Linked DNA regions of Callithrix jacchus. The main gene of each other region encodes a partner of the protein of the gene in region 2 in a complex. Links are inferred from orthologs where the notes say so. Each region holds a gene or a part of one and is shown on either strand. Other genes may lie near its edges. The genes, in order: MYSM1, KIF11 and RBM10.

Region 1 (3,589 bases), on a different chromosome or scaffold from region 2:
GAACGGCCATAATCTTCAAGTTATAAGTGAAAATAAAGGGACAAAGGCATGGACACCGTCATGTTTCAGGGGACGTGCTGATCCCAACTTGAATGCTGTAAAAATTGAAAAGTTATCTGATGATGAAGATGTAGACATCACAGATGAGGTGGATGAGTTGTCTTCTCAAATACCCCAAAAGAATTCTAGCAGTGATATCTCGTTAGATTTCCCTAATAGTAAAATGCATGAAACCAATCAAGGAGAATTCATTGCTTCTGACAGCCAGGAAATTGTCTTTTCTAAGTCTTCCAGGGACTGTCTTCAAAATGAAAAGCAAGACGAAACACTTTCAAGCTCGGAAATTACATTGTGGACACAGAAACAGAGCAGCAGTGACAAAAATTCAGTCAAATTAAATGATCAGAAATTTAATGAATTGATTAAAAATAGCAACAAGCATGATGGAAGGGGAATCATAGTTGATGCCAGGCAGTTGCCTTCTCTGGGGCCTTGTGAAATTCAGAACGATTTGAATGATAATGAAATGCCTTTTCATTCTTGCCAAATGGTAGAGGAAAGTCATGAGGAAGAAGAGCTTAAACCACCAGAACAGGAAATAGAAATAGATAGAAATATCATTCAAGAAGAAGAAAAACAAGCAATTCCTGAGTTTTTTGAGGGACGCCAAGCTAAAACACCAGAACGCTATTTGAAAATTAGAAATTACATTTTGGATCAATGGTAAGAAAGAGTTACATTTTAGATGTTGTTTTAAAAACCTGATATTCTGAAGTATTTTAATTAGGCCTATACAGAACTTAGAATTTTGCTAGTAAATCTAGAAATCACTTCAGTAGGGAAGATTTAAGATTTCTTGTGATGAAACTTTGAAAGCTTTAGTAAACATCACTTCTAACTATCATAATCCATCTTTTTGTCTATTCGTTGGATTGTGGGCCTGGTAAAAGGGACAAATGATTGTTTTATGAAGCAGTCTCCTAGGACAGTGTTAGGAAGATATAAAGAGAAAACTACTGTACGGGAAAAGGGAAATAATTTCTTCAAGTTTATCACGTTCTTTGAATACAAAGAAAAATTTGATGACAGGAATAGTATTAGATATAGCCAGATTGCAGAAACACTTCTTCTAAATAGTGATCCTAAATGCTTTTAACTTTGAACCTGTGGCAATAATGTGCTATTAGTTTCTTCAGCTTTATCAGGATACAGTTTTCTGATATATGAAGCTAATTCTCTAAATTGCCAGTACCACTTACTTTAATTATTTAATGAGGGATAGGGAATAAACCAAAAAATTTCCCACCTTATTATTCCCACTAGTTTGAATTTTTAAAAATAGCCTAATTAAGCCATCATTAAACATTTGTAATTGCTGGCTTGGCTCAGTGGCTCATGCCTGTAATCCCAGCACTTTGGGAGGCTGAGGCAGGCGGATCACTTGAGGACAGGAGTTTGAGACCAGCCTGGCCAACATGGTGAAACCCCATCTCTTCTAAAAATACAAAAAAAACAACAAAGAAACAAAAATGGGCATCGTGGCAGGTGTCTGTGATCCCAGTTACTGCTGCTGCACTCCAGTCTAGGAAACGGAGGGAGACTTCATCTCAAAAAAATTTAACCAAAACAGATTCATAATTGCTAACACTGTTTCAGAAGCTATCGAATTTTACAGGGCCATCTTTACAGAGAGTATCCTATTCCTTGAGCAGGGGTTCTGCTTTGCCTCTTGCTTTTTCTTTTGTACCAAAGCCTTCCAGTCCTATTGCAGTAACTTTCTGCTATAACCTAAAAGGGTTACCAAAGGAAAACATCTGGCTGTAATAAACCAGTAACCTTTATTTTGCCCACACAATATTAGTCACTGGTTTTTAAAGATGGCTATATTCTAATAGGAGGACTTTTGTTTTTTTTCTTGACTCTTATTTTACAGATGGTTGAGGTACTGAAAATACAACATGTGGGTCAGGGCGGCATCATAGTAAAGTATCCTTGTAAGGAAAACTCCTGACTTTACATAGTGCTTTATAGTTTTTAAATAGCTTTCCTCTGTCATCTTATTTGATTTTTTAAAACAATCCTGTAAAATATGCAGATGGTATTATATCTATTTGATATAGAATGATGCTGAGATCAGGAGAGGTTTAGAGACCTGCCTTTGATTTACAACCGGTCACTGACACATGAAGGACTTCAGTCCAAGTCTGGACTATAAATCACTCTTTTATTCCACATGGCCTAATTCCCACTATTAACAAAGACTAGTTAAATTAAATTTCTATTGGTAGCTACTTTTGTTTTTGGAAATAAGAGGGTGACTGGCCAAAATTTAAGGACCTTGAAATAATAGCTAACTCAAAAATGTCCGTATTGGCCAGGAGCAGTGGCTCACAACTGTCATCCCAGCAGTTTTCGAGGTTGAGACAGGAGGACTACTTGAGGCCAGGAGTTCAAGATTAGTTTGGGCAGCAGAGTAAGAACCTGTTTCTACAAAATTTTTTTTTTTTAAATCTTGGGCACGATGTTGTGTGCCTGTAGTCCTAGCTACTCAGGAGTCTGAAGCAGGAGACTCACTTGAGTCCAGGAGTTTGAGGCTGCAGTGAGCTGGGATCATGCCACTGTACGCTAGCCTGGGCAACAGAGCAAGATCTGTTAAAAATGTCCATATGAATGATCAGTGTATACTTAATTGTTACTTTAATCAAATTCTATATTTGTTACTTTGAATTTTGGATTCCAAATGAGGCAGAATAATTTATATAGGTACTGTAAATTACAAGCCAGTAGTTTCCTAAGTCATTTGCCTTGGTTCATGAAACTGGTTAGGTATTGCTATTTTATTATGGTGATTTAGCAGAACAGTGTGAAAGCAAAAAGTGTTTTGAACAGGAACTCACATCTGTTCAGAAATAGAAGACAGTGAGTGGGTTAGGGACTGGAGGTGGTGTTAAAAAAATAGATGGAAGAGTTAAAGTTTTAAAATAAAAAGAAGCCTGCCAGATTTGTTTATAGATAAAAGATCCTTGTCATAAAAGCAGATGCAGTTGATTCTCTGGTTAGGGGAATATTTTTATTAAAATAGTAATTAGTACCATGACTGAATGCCTCCCAAATACCATGCACTGTATTTAAATCATCTCCAATCCTTTTGACAACCTCATTCTCATTTTATAGATAAGAAAAAATGAGGCTCACAGAGGATAAAAACCTTGTTCCAGGTCACACTAGGTAAAGGGGATATTGGAGTCTTTAGTCTTGACTCATTATTTTCACACTTCCAACTCAGGGCCTTGACCCTGACTTTTTACTGGATGTTCTTCCCCCATATTTTGGCAAGTGTTGCTTTCTTGTTGCATTGAAGTCTGGTCAAGGGAAACTAGAGGCTTATCTAAAGTATCTCATGTATCTCTTCCCTTTCATTCTCTTTTTCTGTGTTATAGTTTCTTCACAGAACTTATTACTACCAAAAATATTACATTTTCATTTGTGTATTGTCTCTTCTCCCCTCAACCCCCTTATTATGCAGGCAACACGAGGGCAGATTTTTATCTGTTTTGTTTGTTGTTGAATCACTAGTTCTTAAACAATG
Region 2 (4,378 bases):
TCCACTCACATGAAGTACTTAGAGTAGTCAAAATCATAGACAGTAGAATGGTAGGTGTTAGGGGTTGAGGGGAGAGGGAAATGGGGAGTTATTGTTTAATGTGTATAGAGTTTCAGTTTTTCATGATGAAAAGAGTTATGGAGATGAATGGCAGTAATGACTGCAGAATATTATTATGTATTTAATATCATTGAACTGTACACTTAAAGGTGGTTAAGATGGTAAATTTTATGTGCATTTGAAAACAATTTTTTAAATTGGGAAAAAATAGGGGAGGGAATAGAAGGGGTATAAGAAAGATAGCCAGCAGCACATTATGTAGGGGTCTATAAACTTTAACCTGTAGGTTGAACCTGGCCCTTGCCCTGCCAAAGATTTAAGAATGATTTTTGCAGTTTTAAAGGCTTTTTTAAAAATAATAATAAAGGATCAGAAAATAATGTGCAAGAAACCACATGTGCCAGGGTGTGGTAGCTCCTACCTGTAATCCCATGGATCACCTGAGGTCAGGAGTTTGAGACCAGCCTGGCCAACATGGTGAAACCCGGTCTCTACTAAGAACACAAAAATTATCCAGGCATGGTGGTGTGCACCTGTAGTCCCAGCTACCTGGGAGGCTGAGGCGGAAAATTGCTTGAACCTGGGAGGCAGAGGCTGCAGTGAGCTGATATCGCACCACTGCACTACAGCCTGAGTGACAGAGCAAGACTCTGTCTCAAAAAAAAATAAACTACACATGACCTGTAAAGCCTAGAGTATTTAAATAAAATACTCTAGGATAAATATTTATTTATCCGAGTCCTTTACAGAAAAGGCTTGCCAACCCAAGGACCTCATAAATCCCAAGTTGCCTATTTACTAAAGCTTAATAACAGACTTGTACCAGGAAGGCTATTTGAAAGAAGGCATATGCCCTAAGTGCATGCAAAAAAAAAAAAGAAAGAAAGAAAAAGGAAGGAAGGAAGGAAGGAAGGAAGGAAGGAAGGAAGGAAGGAAGGAAGGAAGGAAGGAAGGAAAGAAAGAGAGAGAAAGAAAGAAAGAAAAAGGCTGCCCTGGCCTGGTGGCTTGCACCTGTAATCCCAGCACTTTGGGAGGATGAGGTGGGCAGATCACCTGAGGTCAGGAGTTCAAGACCAGCATGACCAACATGGAGAAACCCCCTTCTTAAAAAAAAAAAAAAAAAAGGCTAATCTGAAAAGAAAAAAAAAACTCTTTACATAAAAATTATTGTAAATTTTTTTTTACAATACACAAGACACAAGCAAAGTACCATTCTATTCATCGATGATAAAATAAATCTCTTCTATGGCAAGGTTTGAAATATATGCAGATCATAAACATCAAGTTCAAGATAATGGTTAACTGTGAGCAGAGGAAAAGGGATGGAGAGGGGAAAGAGGGGGCTCCAGCAATGATTGTTTTGTTTCTTAATCTGTGTTATGAACAAAAATGTTTATTACATTATTCTTAATAACTTTTTCTAAGTCTGAAGTATTTTGTAACTAATATTAAAAAAAGAAACCATATAAAGGCACACGGAAAAGGTAATAATTGCCTGGTTTTATTAAACAACCAAAATAATTTTAAAATTTGCACTTGTTATATGCACTGCATTTTTAAATAAAATTCTTCAAAACAAGCAACTACTAGCAGAAAGCCCAGATTACAGCTGGTAAGTGTCATTGGCCAGACTTAGGATTGCCACCAAATCTGCTCTCTTGCACCTAGTTTAGAAAGGTTTACAGAAAAGTTGCAACAGCAACTGTTAACGACAGCCACAAAAACACACACACAAAACACACATACTCAGTAAACTGCGGAGAGCCTCTAAAAAGTTGAATAAGTCAATTCTAACTAAGCAACAGTTTCTAGCTCATTTTAAAATTAAGAAGTTATTTGGAAACCAGTCAGGGGAGAGGCGAACACCCCTCCACATCCCCTTATCTCGAAAAATCCTTTAATTTGGTCTATGAATAAACAGGTGAAAAGGAAAACTGCAGCACAATCAGAAATTTACACTAGCTTAAATGGCCTTGATCTTTTAAAAGCATAAACTTACTTTATAACTTAATTTTTAATGTTTACATACAGAGATGTTTATTGTTTAGGAGGGATGAAGAAAATATTGCATCTAGAATAAAGATAATAAGTGATTGCTTTTTAGAGGTGGTAATACCAACGTAAGGGCTAAACCATCTGCAAAACAGGTATTCAGTCTTACTTCCAAACTGACTACATGAAGCAGCATACAAAAGTGACACCTAAATCTTTATTGACTATAGTTTAAAATAAGAACGCACTTTTCGGTATGGAACAGTGATCAAATCAAACATCCTATTTTCTCCCGAAAATCAGACACACACAACAACCGGGTGTCATTTTTATCGAACACAACTCGGACAACAAAGAAACTGGGACCCTCAGGAAATGCAAACAAAATCGCTCTCCTCTCCCCGAACCGCGCAGGAGTGGGCCCAGCAGCAAAGCCCGGGCGCTCGGAATCCTGTCAGCCCTCTCCCTACCTGCATCTCACCACCACCTGGATGTTCTTCCCCTTCTCCTCTTTCTTCTTCGCAGACGAATTTGGCTGCGACGCCATGACGGTCCCCGCCAAAAAATCAACGCCTGGCCGCAGCCTTGGGCGCCGTGGGTCGCGTAGGGGTTTGGCGGCAGACGGGAGCCTGAGTCTCCCTGGCCCGTGCCGGGCGCTGGCGTGGCCTGGAGGATTGACGCCCGCAGCTCGGCGTCCCCGCTCTCCACCCGGTACTCTAGCCGTGGCGTTGGTCCCGCACCAGCCGGTGCCACCAAATCACCAATCTTGTCTCCGCCCTAAGTCCCAGAAACCAAGAAACGCCTCGGCGCCTCAATTTGAAAAAGGGGCCGAGTAGCCAGACCAATGGCTGCGCGGACGCGCACGGCACCATGGGACTCAGGGTCCTCACCGGAGCCCCGCCCTCAGGGCGTGACCTCCAGTAACGTAAAGAGCAGGTCTGTCAGCTCGCTCCGGAACTCAGTAGTCCAGAGCCGAGATGCAGGAGAGGAGTGTGGAACTTCAGCGTACCGTGACTCAACTTACATGACGTCTCTATTCCAAAATTCCCTCATCTGCAGAGAGGAAATACTAGTAACCATCTCAGAGGGTTTATGGGGAGAATAAATGAGTTTATGCAAGCAAATAGATTGGAATATATGGTAAGCGCTCATGATTATAATTATTATTGAATTTTAAGAGGGGAATGGAAGCACAGGAGAGGTTCAAAGCGAGCCGCGTTCCCGGAGGCAGAGACCAAAATAGGCTTTTTTTTATTTTTTGAGACGGAGCCGGCCGGGCGTGTTGGCTCACGCCTGTAATCCTAGCACTTTGGAGGCCAAGGCGGGCGTATCACGTGAGGTCGGGAGTTCCAGACCAGCCTGACCAACATGGTGAAACCCCGTCTTTAAAAAAAAAAATTGGGCCGGGCACGGTGGCTCAAGTCTGTAATCCCAGCACTTTGGGAGGCCAAGGCGGGTGGATCACGAGGTCAACAAATCGAGACCATCCTGATCAACATGGTGAAACCCCGTCTCTACTAAAAATACAAAAAATTAGCCGGGCATGGTGGCGTGTGCCTGTAATCCCAGCTACTCAGGAGGCTGAGGCAGGAAAATTGACTGAACCCAGGAGGCGGAGGTTGCGGTGAGCCGAGATCGTGCCATTGCACTTCCAGCCTGGGTAACAAGAGCGAGACTCCGTCTCAAAAAAAAAAATAATAAATTAAAAGAAAGAGACGGAGTCTCGCTCTTGTCACTCAGACTGGAGTGCAGTGGCGCGATCTCGGCTCACCGCAACCTCCGTCTCCCTCAGCCCCCGGGTAGCTGGGATTACAGGTGCATGCCACCACGCCTGGCTATGTTGTATTCTTAGTAGAGATGTGGTTTCACCATGTTGGCCAGGCTGGTCTCGAACTCCTGACCTCAGATGACCCTCACCCCCACGCCCTCCTCGGCCTCCCAAAGTGCTGGGATTACAGGCGTGAACCACCCCGCCTGGCCCAGAATAATCTTGAAGAATTATTAGTGTTGGGCTCGGTGGCTCACGCCTGTAATCCCAACACTTTAATAGGCCGAGGTAGGAGGATTCTTGAGGCCAGAAGTTTGAGACCAGACTGGGCGACATAGGAGGAACACCACCACCACTGCCGCCAACACACAGTGTTGCATCTCAACAACAACAACAACAAAAATGGGGGAAAAAATAGCAAGGTGTGGTGCGTGCCTGTTCTCCCAGCTACTCACGAGGCTGAGGCGGAAGGAACGCTGAACACAGGAGATCAAGGCTGCAGTGAGCCGGGATTATGCCACTAGATTATTCCAGCGTAGGCGACAGAGCAATAACCTT
Region 3 (4,167 bases), on a different chromosome or scaffold from region 2:
CATAGCAGAGTTAAAGAAATAACTGAGAGTATCCATTCCAACTAAGTATCATGCCAACTGTAGCCCACACAGTCCCTGGAGTCTCCCACTACCTGACCTGGCTTGTTCCCTAGTGGTCCTGAGCAAATTCTGACTCTGATGGCGCCATTCCCACCCATCCCTCATACCCCAAGCTATAGCCCCAACCTATAGGGTTGCTCTGCTGCTGCTGCTCCTCCTCCTCCTCCTCCAGTGGCTGCCATCACCTCGCTAAACGGTACCACACAAACATATCAAGGTCGTCCAAGCTGGAAATCTGGATGTCAGTTTTGATTCCTCCCTTTCTCTTGATCCTTTCCCACCCTCACATCCAACCATGGTACCCACCAAGGTGTTCTTAACCACCTGTAAACTGCATGGCCTCCCTGTGACACCCTGAGTATTGAGAAGGATGCATCTCATGTCTCATTCATCACTGCATTCTCAGAGCCTAGCACAAGTCCTGGCTCACAACAGGTGCCAAATACCTGTCTGCTGAAAAGAAACCCATCTGCTATGCTGTTTCCTCTACCCAGAAGCCCCATCCTAGCACCTTCTTGGATCGATTCTCACATAGAGGCAAGCCTAGGCTGTTTGGAAGGCTGGGAACAGATAACTCACCGTCTTTCATACTCCATGTCCTGATAGGACCTTCGGGGGCTGCTGGGGCCCCTCCTCAGCCGCTGGCTCCGTTTCACTTCCCAGCCACCCCCACTGCTGCTACCATGATCTGCCAGCCTGGGTGATTCTTCCTGCAGGGACTCTGGGAAGAGTGAAGGGAAGAAAGGGGTCAAAGCAGTTGGGGCAGAGAGGGTCTCCTTGACAAAGATTGTTGTCAAGGCTCTCCGCCTTGTCTTCCAGATCCCAGCACTCCTGTGCATCATAATGTGAAGGTACCACATACTTGGCCTGCTCCTTCCTTTCCTCACAAACACGAGGCTAGAGCCCACTGCCCTAGAAAACAGCAAGGCCTTCAGCAGACAGAGGGCATCTTGGAGAAAGACCTGGCGATGCCACACACATTGTGATCAGGGCTTTGCCACCTGAGACAGGTAGACAAATTCAAGCCTGGGGATGCATCCCAGGGTGGGGGTAGGGGACTCTCAGTGCTGAAAGTCTTGCTGACATTCAGCACATCAGGCAAGATCTGATAACAATGGGGATCCCACGCACGCACCAGGCTCCTTCCCTGGGCCCCAAGGTACCATCCCATCCTCCCAAGAAGCTGCTGGCTGCCCCCTTTAAGGAAGCAAAAGGCCATGAAAGGCTCTTGGGGGTATGTGTGAAGGGGGTAACTTGGCAACGAGACAGCTGCCACCTCCCTGGGCTCCTGGCCAACACAGCCTTGGCCCTCACACAGCAAATGGCTCAGCCCTGAGCCCTGTCTCTTATGTGCAGCAAGGTCCCAAAGTGATTGTCTCCCCAGGGCTCAAGCCTATTTTCCACAGGCAAAAGGGGCCCTTTTGGAGGCTGTTCTGAACCACTGTTCTCTACTGGGATGGAGCAGCAAACACTTCATCCAACCCTCAGGGCTATGGTGAGAACTTAGGGAGTCCTGAGAACCGTGTGACCCAGCCAGAGGTCAGGATGAATCCCAGATCTTCGGGCCCCACCCTATGAATAGGGATCAGGTAAAGCTAGGCAATAATAGCACCTGCCTAACTCTAGGTTGCTGCCACACCTTTGCTCTATGCGTGCACATACACACACTCCAGTTTTCTCTTCCTCCTCAAGCCACAGGGAACCCGAGTTACCTGCTCCCAGGTGAGCAAGAGTTAGAATCACACCAGAGGCACTGGCGGTTGAGAGCCAGATCCAAAAACCCTCAAGAGACTCTGGCAAAGGGGCCAGAGTCACACAGTAACATCTACCACAGCCAAGGGCCAGTCACAGACACGAGCCTCAAATAACTACGGGCCCACATCACAGAAGGAACCCACAGTAAGGGCCACAGTTACACACACACTGGGTCCCCTTTCCACAGATAAGCATCAGTGTCACAGATAGGAACTCCCCAAAAGAAGCGGCAACGAGTCACACACACATTCCCTGAATCCCCCTCTCCACCCAATAAGAGGGTTTGGGCCAGTCACAAGACAGTCGTCCCCCCAGCCCCGCCCCACAGATAAGGACCAGAGTCACAGACACACACCCCCCACCAAGGGTAAAGACCAGAGTCACATCCTCCCTCCAATCCTCCAGGAAAAGAGACCAGAACCACAGAACATTTCCCCATGGACCAATACACACCAGATTTAACACAGAGCAGCATCCCTCGCCCATGCACAAACTCAAAGTCGCAGACAACCGCTTACCCACGAAAAAACTTCGGTGTAGCGGACACAGTGATCCACGGCAGCCCACTCCCATCCGTCCCTCCCTTCCCCCAACCCGCGTGCACCCAGCCAGTGTCCCAGTCGCGCACGCGCCTTTGCTCACACCAAAAAAAAAAAAAAAAAAAAAACACCACCCCCTCCCGGGTTAAGACATTGCACGCACCCCTCCGTTCCACGCATCCCCCCGGCCCGAAGTCCGCCCTCGCGCCTCCTCTACGTCCCCGCCCCGGGCCCCTTACCTCCGCCCCCACGACCAGCGTCGACGCTCACCTTCTCGGCCCGGGCTGTCAAGGGAGGGCTCCCAGACATCACCTCCGCCCGCCGCCACCTCCTCCAACTCTCCCAGCTCAGCCGGAGCCGGAGCGCGCAACAACCAAGTCCGAGGCTGCGGGCAGATCGCGGGGAGGGGAGAAGCGCCAAGCGCGCTGCCCTCCCAGGGAAACTCACTGCCGCCTACTGCCAGCCGGCCACAGTCATCAGCTCAAAATGGCGACGACAAGAAGGGAGTCGGCGCTCCGACCACCATCCACCTACTAAGGAAGCGCGCTCTGGCCAGCCCCGGCGATTGGCCGCTGCCCGCCAGGGGCCAGCCCTAGCCTCCTCTGATTGGTAAGCGCTTGCCACCTCCTCACACCCTGTGCGAACGCTCCCCTAGTCGAGAAAAGGAGTAGCTATTGGCCAATCTGGCAGGGCCCGCTTTTTAGAAGCCTGACTTCCTTTGAAGATGAAAGACTAGCGGAAGCTCCACCTCTTTCCCCAAAGGGCGAGGGAACTCTCTGGGCGATTGGTTGAGAAATGTACCAACCCGAATGTCACCGATTTCTTCCTATCCAGGAAATTAGCAGCCCCATCGATAAGAAATCAATAAGAAATTTCTCAGCCTGGCCGAAAGAGTGAGAGAATGGTTGGCACCACAAAGCCATGACAACTGGAGGCAAAGAGGATTGCTCTACGCCCTGCCTCATTAGAAAACAAAATCAGATCTGGGACCTATTAAGCGGGCGGGGACGGAGCGATAATTGTCGCGCTCGCACCCACTGCAGTTGCGCACAGTCGCATTTCCGTCTCCGCCCCTGAGCCCCTGCAGCACCGTCTGTCATGGCGGCTGGGCTGTTAGGTTTGACCGCTCGCCGTCTTTGGGCGGCAGCGGCGACGCGAGGGCTCCCGGCCGCCCGCGTCCGCTGGGAATCCACCTTCTCCAGGACTGTGGCCGCCCCACCCGTTGCGGCGGGAAAGCGGCCCCCGGAACCGACCGTGGAATGGCAAGAGGACCCAGAAACCGAGGACGAAAACTTTTATGAGACGGTGAGAGGGAGGGGAAAACGGAACGCCGAAGGGGTCAATCCGGGAGCGACAGTTGGGGTGCTGTAGAGGACGTTCTTAGTCAGTAGAGGACTGCGTGGTCGGCGAAAGAAGACGTGGGAATTTTGCCTACTTTGTGGTCCTCCTTTGTCTCTGGGTATCGAACGAAGGTTCCAGGGCCAGAGACAGGATTGGTTTTATTTTGCAGACAGAAACCACACCTCATGTGGACAGCAGTCAAAACACATTAGAAGCAATATAATACAACAACAATTATACTAAACACTGATATGGCAGTTGCTCGTTGCCGTCTGCGTTCCTTTTTTTTTTTCCTTAGAGACGAGATCTCGCGATGTTGCTCAGGCTTGTCTTGAACTCCTGGGCTCAAGCGATCCTCCCGCCTTGGCCTCCCAAGGTGCTGGGGTTACAGGTGTGAGCCACTGCTCCGGCCCCTGTCTGTGTTCTAAACACTCTACGTGGATTAACTCATCTTATCCTCAAAACAACCCCG

Evidence for each region.
Region 1: KIF11 (region 2) and MYSM1 share a complex: the UniProt entries of both Homo sapiens proteins name them as parts of the large chromatin remodeling complex. The link is inferred for Callithrix jacchus from reciprocal best matches to the Homo sapiens genes KIF11 and MYSM1.
Region 3: KIF11 (region 2) and RBM10 share a complex: the UniProt entries of both Homo sapiens proteins name them as parts of the large chromatin remodeling complex. The link is inferred for Callithrix jacchus from reciprocal best matches to the Homo sapiens genes KIF11 and RBM10.

The regions. Positions count from the first base shown.
Region 1 is NC_133508.1:95,767,373-95,770,961, reverse strand, and holds part of MYSM1 (deubiquitinase MYSM1), read left to right. Parts: coding exon 1-723; intron 724-3,589. UniProt on the Homo sapiens protein: Metalloprotease with deubiquitinase activity that plays important regulator roles in hematopoietic stem cell function, blood cell production and immune response.
Region 2 is NC_133513.1:85,333,575-85,337,952, reverse strand, and holds the start of KIF11 (kinesin-like protein KIF11), read right to left. Parts: upstream 2,827-4,378; 5' UTR 2,600-2,826; coding exon of another isoform or gene 2,529-2,599; coding exon 2,523-2,528; intron 1-2,522. UniProt on the Homo sapiens protein: Motor protein required for establishing a bipolar spindle and thus contributing to chromosome congression during mitosis. Required in non-mitotic cells for transport of secretory proteins from the Golgi complex to the cell surface.
Region 3 is NC_133524.1:48,107,445-48,111,611, reverse strand, and holds the start of RBM10 (RNA-binding protein 10), read right to left. Parts: upstream 2,890-4,167; 5' UTR 2,664-2,889; coding exon 2,594-2,663; intron 782-2,593; coding exon 640-781; intron 1-639. Other genes in the region: NDUFB11 (NADH dehydrogenase [ubiquinone] 1 beta subcomplex subunit 11, mitochondrial), read left to right, coding at 3,453-3,659. UniProt on the Homo sapiens protein: Binds to ssRNA containing the consensus sequence 5'-AGGUAA-3'. May be involved in post-transcriptional processing, most probably in mRNA splicing. Binds to RNA homopolymers, with a preference for poly(G) and poly(U) and little for poly(A).